Linked DNA regions of Callithrix jacchus. The protein of the gene in region 2 purifies or fractionates together with the protein of the main gene of each other region. This does not show direct contact. Links are inferred from orthologs where the notes say so. Each region holds a gene or a part of one and is shown on either strand. Other genes may lie near its edges.

Region 1 (4,306 bases), on a different chromosome or scaffold from region 2:
TGCTCCCTGAAAGCAGCTAAAAGATATACAATCCTGTCTACTCTACCTAAAAGAGCAATTTACAAAATTTGTAGTATAGGTTGTATGTTTCATTTTAAAAACACAATTCAGATTTCAAAATTAGTGTGATTATTATCACCACTTGAACCTAAGTTCTATGAAGCAAGGATCAGTCACATTTGTTCACCACTCAATAATCAGAATGTAATCCCAGCACTTTGGAAGGCTGAGGTGGACAGATCACTGGAGGTCACGAGTTCCAGACCATCTGGACAACATGGTGAAACCCAGTCTCTACTAAAATATAAAAATTAGTTGGGCATGGTGGTGCATGCCTGTAATCCCAACTAGTAAGGAGGTTGAGGCAGGGGAAATCACTTGAACCCAGAAGACAGAGGCTGCAGTGAGCTGAGATTGCGCCACTGCACTCCAGCTTTGGTGACATAGCAAGACTCCATCTCTAAATAAATAAGAGTAGGAACGCTAAACAATTTGTTGAATAAACACATTTTAATAAGTTGGCAAATATTAATTTCTGATCTTCTTCAGATTTTTCGTTTGTTATCTGCACAAATCAAAGTTCCATATTACTATTAAGTCAAACAGGCAAGGAAGACATTATTGAAGATTACTGGCAGTCGGGAAAGGGGATAGAACTCTTCTAAGCTCAACTTAAAAAAAGAAAAAGCAGTAGTGAAGAGTTTTTAAGAGCTATGTTGGGAAAATCATGGGCTACCTGAGTTTGCTGATTGAGGTTACCAAAAAGGAAAAGTAAATTTTCTCCTCCACGAGAGGAGGTGGTTTTAAGACTTGAAGGGAGAAGCCCACAGTGGTTAGGCTCCTATCCTCCCACAAAAAAGAGATGGCTATCTTCCTTGCTGATTATATTTCAAAGGCATGGCTTCCATAACCTTGAGATAGTTTTCAACTACAAAACTGGCCACAACTTTTTAAAAACATTTACATCTGAAAAGAAAAGCGGAAAAAAATTACAATGCTAAAGTTTTCTAAAGTAAACACTCTTTAGAAAGGGAGGTGAGGTACCCACATGCTTAAGGCTGGTAATCCAGCTGAGGGAAACTAAGTCCCTCTGGCTTACTGCTTAAATGTGTTATTGCAGTTTGACACCAATAAATTCAGATTATGAGCTTCCATTCTCTCAAGGTTCCTGCAGGAGAGAGTTGCTGTACATATTACACAATCTATTTTTGGCTACTTACTTTGTTAATACGCATTTTTGACCGCTCCTCACTAACAGTGAAAAGAGCAAAAAGCTTCCAGAAGACAAGTCCTTGCGCGTTCCACAAGTGCGCGTGCGCACTCGGCACTAAGCCTCTGACGTCACCGAGGGCACCCGCCCCTACAAGTTAGCAACCGAAGGCGTCCTTAGCAGCAGTGGCCGCTGAGATGCACGAACTTCCGGTTCTCCCGGCAGCTGCAGCTGCCAGAGCCTCTGCCACCTGCCACGACCGGGCCTCTCTCTGGCGTTTGGTCACCTCTTCTTCATTTTCTTCTGCGCCTATGGTCCCTCTTGGAGCCAGCGTGGCGGGCCCGGCAGCCCCCGGGTGGTGAGAGAGCAGTCTGGAAACGATGAAGGCCTCGCATTGCTGCTGCTGTCTCAGCCACCTCTTGGCTTCCGTCCTCTTCCTGCTGCTGCTGCCCGAGCTAAGCGGGCCCCTGGCAGTGCTGCTACAGGCAGCCGAGGTCGCGCCAGGTCCTGGGCCTCCTGACCCTAGACCACGGACATTGCCGCCGCTGCCACCGGGCCCTACTGCTGCCCAGCAGCCAGGCCGTGGTCTAGCTGAAGCTGCGGGGCCGCGGGGCTCCGAGGGCGGCAATGGTAGCAGCCCCGGGGCCGGGCTTGAGGCGGAGGATCACGGAGGGAAGGCCGGGGAAGGCTCAGTGGGTGGCGGCCTTGCTGTGAGCCCCAACCCTGGCGACAAGCCCATGACCCAGCGGGCCCTGACAGTGTTGATGGTGGTGAGCGGCGCGGTGCTGGTGTACTTCGTGGTCAGGACGGTCAGGTGAGGCAAAGCCTCGGTGGGGCTCCCCCGTGGGCCTGAGATGCGCAGGCCAGTGATTTCCTCCAGCAAGGCTGACTTCTGTGACCCTTTCCCTGTTCCCCAACATCAGGGGTTCCTGCCTAAGAATGTAACTTGACTGTCTTAAAGGCCTGTTACTTTTGGGGCAATTTAAGCCCACAACTAATTGCTGCCTTTTGTTTATAAATTAGCGCCCTACCTCCAAATCTCTTCATCTCACCTACGAGCCACGTCAGCTTCAAAGGGCACCCTTTCTCTGATGGGAATATAATCTTTATTTCCTTGAATTTGACAAGTTTGCCTTGTAAAATACTTCTGCCTTTCTACTCTACATTTTGCCAGTGGTCAAAATTTTGCCAATCAGAATGCAAAGTCTTTAAAGAGAGGATATCTATCTAATAGGTTTGTGAGTCTTATAAATTTTTGTATAGTGCTGCCACTTAATAGGAATTTAATATGTATTTGAGTGGATTGATAGTAGTATAGAGGTGCCTTATTATGGCTATTTTATTTTTATAAAATTCGGGAGAAGAAAAGTTCTTCCTTACTATCAGTGTTTCCTTACTAGTATTAGCCTTTAATCTGCCACGTAAGTAATTCGCTTCTACCTAATTACTTGAGAATCACCTTCCTGAAGAGTTGGCAAAAAGAGCCAAGACCTCACAATTAGGAGAAGCCAGCAAAGAGACAAGGTGAAGGAAAGCTGTTAGCAGTTTCCTTCATTGTAAAATAAGTGTAGAGGGTAGGTTTGCAGATGGCTGGTTTTTTGTTTTCCAAATTACTGCACATTTTTCCCATAATTATGTTCTGTATTATAATTTAAAATATTTCTTTTAACTGATTATTTAAAGCAAAAGTTTCCCTTTAAACAAGTCATTATGATCATGAATGGAAAACCAACATCACTTGGCTGGTTAAAAAATAGTGTAAGCCAGAGGTTCTTGACATGTGGGCCAGGGAACCACAGAGGTGGGAGTTTCACTTAGACCTCTTAGACCTCTTCAGGGGATCTACAGTATTAAAATTGTTTTCAAAATAATACATGCTGTTAAAGGCCTTACAAATAGTTGATAGATATTGTTTCAGATTCCACATTGCAACTAACTTTGAAGAAACTGCTTGTCAAGTTTTGGTGTAGTAGTATGAAAAAGAAATAACCAGTAGTATATAAAAAGGCTGTTAAAATGTTTCTTTCTATTACAAGTTTATATCCGTGTAAAGATGGAATGACATTGTATGTTTCAACCAAACAACACATTGCAAAGGATTTAATGGAGAAGTCAATATAAAAATCCGTTTCCTATTTTTGTTTCTATTTTTTAACAACTTCTATCACCTTAAGCCAGATATTAAAGGGATTTGGAAATAAAAATCTAAATGTCATTGATTTTACATTTTTTTCTCTTTTGAAAATATAGTTACTTTTCATGGGAGTTATGTTAACCTGTAATGTGTTTACTCTTATTATTTTAAATCTGTTGATATGTATAGGTTTTCTCTGGTTTAATTAATATGTTAAAAGTTGTTATGTGTAATTCACATCAGTGTAAGTTCTTTCAGAGTCTTGAGTAATATTAAGAATGTAAAGAAATCCAAAACGTTTGAGAACCACGGGTATAAGCAATATTATTCAAGCTAGATAATGTTGGTTTACAAAGGCTGGCAAATCTGTGCTCACACTCTGTTAAAGAAGTTAGAAAATGTTCTGGAAGTGTTTAAAGCATATTACCACCAAATTGAGACTTTCTTCTTGATATAAAGAAAGATTAAAAGAATATTAAAACAAATTATTTTCCTCACTATATAACTAATGTTTCATGCTGTCTGTATATAGTTCCTATAAAATGGATATTTAATGCTGTCTGTATATAGTTCCTATAAAAATGCATGACCTCTTGAGTGTTCTATCTCTTTGACATATAAATTATGGGTATAATGATCATTTGGTGGAGATATTCCTTGCTTGTTTTTCCTTTTGCTTCCACCTTTTTAATAATTTTAAATACACATATTTATTGCCATTGATTTTCTGTCATTATTGTTGTAAAACTTGGACAGATACAGTCTTTCCAATCAGATTCTATTTGATGACTCAGAAACATGATGTGTGTTAACAGCCAAATTCTGAACTGTGGCTAATAAAAACTGCTTTCTTTAACCAGCATCTAACACATTCATGCAGCCCCAGTCCTACATACATTTAGTTGGCTGCCTGGCATCCAAGGCTTGACTGATGCTAACAGTGTCTGGGCAGTGTTCAGAAC
Region 2 (3,650 bases):
TGGATTACCTGAGATCAAGAGTTTGAGACCAGCCTGGCCAACATGGCAAAATCCCATCTTTAAAAAATGCAAAAAAAAAAAAAAAAATTAGCTGGGCGTAGTGGCGCGTATCTACAATCCCAGCTACTTGGGAGGCTGAGGCAGGAGAATCACTTGAACCTGGGAGGCAGAGGTTTTAGGGAGCGAGATCATACCATTGCACTCCAGGCTGGGCAGCAGAGGAAGATTCCATCTCAAAAAAAAAAAAAAAACAAAGGAACTTTCAACAATATCACCACTGACATTTGGGGCCAGAGAATTCTGTGTTGTCAGGGGTGTGCTGTGCATTGTAGAATGTTCAGCAGTGTGCTTGGCCTCCCTCACTAGATGCCCGTAGCAACCTCCCTCTACCCTCCTCATAGTGTGACAGTTAAAAATGTCTCTAGACATTGCCAAATGTCCTGTGGAGGGCAGAAGCATTGCTGGTTGAGAACCACTGAGTTACAGGCTGGATGACGGCAAACTGGACTGCATCCTCCCAAGGTCAACCCTGCCCTACCCAAAATTGGGTTCTTGCCATAGTAAGCTCCAGGAATTCTGGGGTTGACTTTTTGGTTTATGATAGGACTTCCCAACCTGGGACGAAAGACCTAACTCATGTGAAATTGTAGGGGTCAGTCTGGGCCACAGAGAGCAAGTGAGGTCCCATCTAGAAGGCCTCCTGCAGTCACTCTAATGTTTATTGCTTGCTGTGGGTTTTGTAGGTCATGCTGGCAGCTTCCTATTGGTCTCTCCTGGCCCCAGCAGTTGAGATGGCCACATCTTCTGGAGGCTTCGGTGCCTTTGCCTTCTTGCCCGTGGCTGTTGGCTTCACCCTTGGAGCAGCTTTTGTCTACTTGGCTGACCTCCTGATGCCTTACCTGGTGAGTACCGCTCTACTTTTAGCTGTCGTATTAACACATACCCGCTCTGTGCAATGGATTTATTACCTGTTAATGTCTCTGTTAAGTAGCCAGATGGTGTTTAAACAGAGAAAGAGGCATTAGAGGCACTGAATGGTGATTTCTTTCTTAAGGAAAATAATGTCTTGCTAATTACCTCCTTATTTACATTTTAGTAAGTTCAATTTTGAATGTCACATTTCCTTAAAAATGGCTGATGTGCTGAGTGGCACTGTATATATGAGAGGGCCGAGAACTGGTTGCTGGGTGGGACCTAGCTTCATCAGTATGATGCTGGCTCTTACTGAGAGTAGGACATCTTCAGGGAGACGACACATCCCACCCTCCCTCATCTTGTAGCACTAGACCTTTGACAACGTGTCATATCATGAGGGTTGACAGGAGGGTCGAGGGTCAGGTGGGGCTCTGTGCAGCAGGAGTCTGGGCTGGAGCTCACACCTGTCGTTTACTGATTGTGTATGCCTGACCTCAAGTTTTCCATCCTTTAGTTTGAGGATAACACCCCCAAGGGACTGTATAGTAAAATTTAGAAAATGTAAAAATGCACTGGAACTGGGGATAAGCCAGAGATTTCAGGCCTTTTTGCTGACATAAGGCTGGAGAGTTGGGTTTTGGAATGAGCATGTATTTGCTTACAGAGAAGCACCATGTGAACTGCAGCCTGGAGTGTGGCTGTGATGGCCGAGCCGAGAGAGCGGGGGCCAGGTCCTGCCATGAGAGCCACAAGCCGTTGGCTAAAGCCGTCATCTGCATGCACCATTCTCAGTAGAGGAAAGGGGTCCGTGATCATCACAGCATGAGACACCTTACCAGACATTGAGCCAGACAGGTTCTAGAGAGGGCAGAAGCACCCCGAACTGGTGCTTGAATTCCCTGCCCTCCTAGAAGAGGAAGGGGTGCAGGAGAAATCTGTGAAATGGTCACAGTCCATTTCTCATGTTGGATCACAGTGAGGCAGGATTCAGTCAGATCCACTGGAGTCAGTGGACATGTACCCTGGGAGGTAGACAGGCTGAAGTTCTCTTCCCTGCCTTCCTGCTTTCTTTTTTTTCTTAAGTTCCCAACTGGAGAAAGAAAAGGAATGGTGGACAGCTCTGCAGCTAAAACGATTCCCAGGAACTATGCCTCTGGGCCCCGGGCTAATGAAAAACAAATTCCTTGTGTTATAGAAGAACCTTTCTTTGGATCAGACAGCTGAATGTGATGTTGGACGGCTGTGGTATTGTCTTAAAGCAGAGGTCCTCAACCCCCAGGCTGAGGACTGGTACTGGTCTATAGCTTGTTAGGAAATGGGCCGCATAACAGGAGGTGAGCAAGCAGCTGGCAAGTGAGCTTTATCTTCTGAGCTCCGCCTCCTGTCAGATCAACGGTGGCACTAGAGTCTCATAGGAGCGCAAACTCTGCTCCTGTGTGTCAAATGTTGTGCCCTTTAAGAGAATGTGACTTAATCTCTTAAAGGGATGTGTGCCCTTTAAGAGAATCTGACTAATGCCTGATGATCTGAGGTGGAACAGTTTCATCCCCAAATCCCCCTACTCCAATCCCCATCCGTGGAAAAGTTGTCTTCCACAAAACCAGACCTTGGTGTTGAAAAGATTGGGACCCCTGTCTTAAAGACTGTGTGTCATTTTTTGTTGTTAAAAGATTGAGTGGCATGGCTGGGCGTGATGGCTCACGCATGTAATCCCAGCACATTGGGAGTCCAAGGGGGCAGATCACTTGAGGCCAGGAGTTCGAGACCAGCCTGGGCAATACAGTGAAACCCCATCTCTACTAAAAATACCGAAATTAGCTGGGTGTGGTGGCACAAGCCTGTAATCCCAGCTACTCAGGAGGCTGAGGCATGAGAATCGCTTGAACCTGGGAGGTGGAGGTTGCAGTAAGCCGAGATGGTGCCACTGCACTCCAGCCTAGGCGACAGAGCAAGACCCTGTCTCACTCACACACACACACACACACACACACACACACACACAAAATTGAGTGGCAGTGTCTGTTTCTGTCCCCTGGGCATTTGGCTTTTTCCTTGCTGCCCTCTTTGTCTGTGTGGTAGAGGCTTCCAGTGGCCCTCAATGCAGGCTGCTGTATTCTGATCTCAAGGCCATCCTGGTTATATGTGAACTTGCTGTTCCAATGATGTATTCTGCTTGCCCTGGCAGGTGCCCAGTGGCTTTAACCCCTGAGCAGCAGGCAGAGATCTGGCTCAGCAGCTCTGCACTGGCCCTGCTGGTCCCATTCTGACTCTGCAATCCTGGTGGGTCTTACTGTGTTCCAGGGGAGTGGGGGTGGTGGGGTCGTGTCAGGTGTATTTGGTCAGCTGTCTGAACGTAGGGGTTTTCTCTGGGCAGTGTAAACAGTCATTGACTAGTTTGTACTATGCAGTAGTAATTGGTTTTTTTTTTTTTTTTTTTTGAGACAGAGTCTCACTTTGTCACCCAGGCTGGAGTGCAATGGCCTGATGTTGGCTCACTGGAACCTCCGCCTCCTGGGTTCAAGTGATTCTCCTGCCTCAGCCTCCTGAGTAGCTGGGCTTACAGGCGCACACCACCATGCCCTGCTAATTTTTGTACGTTTAGTAGAGACAGGGTTTTACCATGCTGGCCAGGCTCATCTTGAACTCCTGACCTCAAGTGATCTGCCCGACTCAGCCTCCGAAAGTGTTGGGATTACAGGCATGAGCCATCACGCCTGGCTGCAGCAGTATTTTTA
Region 3 (3,030 bases), on a different chromosome or scaffold from region 2:
GGGCATTGTCATTAAATTAAGTGTGTGTGTTTGTGTGTCCAAATATACATACATGGTAAATACACATCGGTGACTCTGATATGTAGTTCTTTAATCATTACTGAGATTAAACACATTTTCATATTTATGTTTAATTTGTCTTTTCAAAGCACCCACTTCCCTGTCATTTTGGGGTTATTGAGCCTACATTTTGACCCCATGTTCTCCTGAGGCTTTCCTCCTTCTGGACTGAGGGGCTCCGCTTTTCTGGCCTGAGCTCCCCCCATGGCTCCCCCATCCTCTATGTCTCAGGCCCAGCCTCCAGGGCAGTCCCAGGGGCTACCAGATCCCCTTGGAAGAACCCCTGGAACCAATGCCTAGTCTTATTAGAGGCCACTCCTGTTCCTCATCCAACCCTACTGACTTCCTTTTGCTGGCCAGGCTGCTCCCAGGCCCTTTCCCACGGAGACCTTGGCACCCCCAGAGCTGAAGGGACGCTGCTGTCTGGGAGAGGGTGTAGGTAAGCCTGATGGGGCAGAGGACAAGCCTGACTGCTGCCTTCTCTCTCAGGGTCCCCGTGAAGGAAGTACTCCCTGTCATCATTAAGCAGGGGATGAACTGCTTAGAATCTCAGGGCCAGAACACAGCTGGTGACTTCCTGCTTGGAATGGGGATCTGCAGGGGGTCTGCCAAGAACCCCCAGCCTGCCCAGGTAAGCTGCTTAGAACCTCGGGTAGGAATGGGCGTGAGAGAGAGCTGGAGGCATTGCTCGGAGTGGGTTAAGGGACTCCCCCCGCTTATTCTTCTCCTCTGCCTACACCTTACACAAACCCACTTTGCCAGGGGCCCCTATACTCTGCTCCCACGCATTCGTATCCTATGCATTTCAATACGCCTGTCACTTGGGTATCCTGTGTGCACCACTTGCTTTGTCCTTACCAAGGGAGAAGTGCTGCCCAGATAGTGCCCAGTTCTCTCCTGAGATGCAGCTGGGCTTGGCTCGTGTGAAAGGCAATGTCCAAGACTTCCGTGCACACATGAGTGTTGCACCCACATCAAAACTAAAGCAGGTCATGGAGACCCCAGTGAGGACCAGCTCCCAGCTGCCCTGGTTCCAAGTCTTGTAATTCTCTCCCATCTCCCACAGTCCCTGGGTACAGCTGTGATTGCCCTCTGGCCAGCTCCAGCTAAGCTCCCCCACCTCAATATTTTATTATCAAAAAAATTCAAACATACAGAAAAATATGAAGAATTATACAGTGAATACCCATACACCCACCCTAGCTCCTATAATTATTCATAGAAATCTTACAAAAATATGCCATGTGTTTGCTTTATCCCCTACCTACCCATCTCTCCATCCATCGCTGTACTTTTGACTTGGCCTTTCTGCTCCCTGCCTTGCAGGCCTGGCTGTTCAGTGACCACCTCATCCAGCAGCAGGGGAAGTGCCTGGCTGCCACCTCCACCTTGATGTCCTCTCCCGGATCCCCCGTCACACTGCAGATGTGCAACCCTAGAGAAGGCAAGCAGGTGAGTCTCCTCGCCTCTGGCACAGAGACCCAGCAGCCCCAGGGGACCATGCCTCAGGGTGGCAGACCCTGGCGGGGGAGACCCCAATCAACTCAAATAATCCCTGCAGAGCAAGGATCTGGGGCAGAGGAGGAGCCAAGTCTACATCTAGATCAAGCCAGTTATTTTACCCATGAGGAAATACTTCTTTGGGTAATTATTTGTTTAGTGCCATACTGCCAGGCTGTGAGCTCCGTGAAGGCAGGGACCGCTTGTCTTGTTAACACTGTATCCCTAGCTCCTGACAACCACCATGATTCAAGTAAGTGTTAGCTTTTACGGACAGCCTGTGTTACATGTTTGAAATAGATCTTCTCATCTAATCCACCCAGCCACCCTGTGATGTGGGTTCTAGTACTAGCTTCATTTTATAGGTGAGTAAACTGAGGCTCGCTGAATCTGAAGAACATATGTCAGATCACACCACTGAGAAGGGGTGAAGCTGAGATTCAAACCCAGGTCACTGTGACTTCTAGATGTCATCCCTACAAAGAAGGCAGCTCCCACTAGGGGTGTAGAGAAGTGGCCTCACAGGTCAGCAGCTTAGGACCACAGGAAGAAGAAATCATGTGTGCCAAAGTAACAGATTTACCTGGGCCGGGACTGACAAACTCAAGTGCCTACAGGGAGCTGGTGGGAAAACCCCGATAAGAGAAAAGCTGGGACCAGGCAGGAACTATGGTAAACTGGAGAACAAGAGCCCCATCTAAGGCAGAGGGCAAATCCTCAGCCCCAGCAACTGATGCCACCTAAGAAACTGGGCCCAATAACTACATAGAAGCTAGAAATGCAGATTTGCACGTGGCAACCAAGCTAAACTGTAAATAAGCACATGGTACTTCAGCTGCTTTGCCTCCTCTGATCTGGACAGGAACTTCTGCAAACTACAGAAGCAAGAGCCCACTGGGAAGGGCAGGGCTTAAAGCTTGTGTTAGGGGTGGGGTGGGGGCAGCCTCTTACGTAGGAATACACAGCCTACTTTACGAGGCGCATGACTGGGCATGGTAGCTCTTGTCTGTAATCCCAGTGCTTTGGAAGGCCAAGACAGGTGGATCGCTTGAGGTGAGAAGTTTTATCTAGACCAGCCTGGGCAACATAGCGAGCCTCGGTCTCTGCAAAAAATTGAAAAATTAGCTGGGCATTGGTGGTATGCATGTGAAGTCCTAGCTACTCGGAGGCTGAGGTAAGAGGATTGCGTGAGCCCAGGAGTACGAGGCTGCAGTGAGCTATGGTGGCACCACTGTAAGATCAAGATCATGTCTAAGAAAAAGGAGAAGGGGGTGTGTCCCAGTTATATACAAGGGTTGCGTACATGCATATGAAATGAAAGTACAACATTATTTTTTTAAACCATTGTTTTCTCCTTCTTCTTTGAACCCATCTCCGTTCCTCCTAGAAATGGAGGAGGAAAGGATCTTTCATCCAGCACTCAGTCAGTGGCCTCTGCCTGGAGACGAACCCTGCCCAGCTGGTGACCAG

Evidence for each region.
Region 1: the proteins of SLC39A11 (region 2) and FAM174A purify together in Homo sapiens (co-immunoprecipitation; 3 studies listed by BioGRID and IntAct, counting the BioPlex papers as one, with this or other methods). This does not show direct contact. The link is inferred for Callithrix jacchus from reciprocal best matches to the Homo sapiens genes SLC39A11 and FAM174A.
Region 3: the proteins of SLC39A11 (region 2) and GALNT16 purify together in Homo sapiens (co-immunoprecipitation; 3 studies listed by BioGRID and IntAct, counting the BioPlex papers as one, with this or other methods). This does not show direct contact. The link is inferred for Callithrix jacchus from reciprocal best matches to the Homo sapiens genes SLC39A11 and GALNT16.

Annotation. Positions count from the first base shown.
Region 1 is NC_133503.1:109,934,935-109,939,240, reverse strand, and holds the start of FAM174A (membrane protein FAM174A), read left to right. Parts: upstream 1-1,421; 5' UTR 1,422-1,590; coding exon 1,591-2,024; intron 2,025-4,306.
Region 2 is NC_133506.1:129,011,806-129,015,455, reverse strand, and holds part of SLC39A11 (zinc transporter ZIP11), read left to right. Parts: intron 1-743; coding exon 744-902; intron 903-3,650. UniProt on the Homo sapiens protein: Zinc importer that regulates cytosolic zinc concentrations either via zinc influx from the extracellular compartment or efflux from intracellular organelles such as Golgi apparatus. May transport copper ions as well.
Region 3 is NC_133509.1:104,343,113-104,346,142, forward strand, and holds part of GALNT16 (polypeptide N-acetylgalactosaminyltransferase 16), read left to right. Parts: intron 1-549; coding exon 550-691; intron 692-1,386; coding exon 1,387-1,512; intron 1,513-2,947; coding exon 2,948-3,030. UniProt on the Homo sapiens protein: Catalyzes the initial reaction in O-linked oligosaccharide biosynthesis, the transfer of an N-acetyl-D-galactosamine residue to a serine or threonine residue on the protein receptor.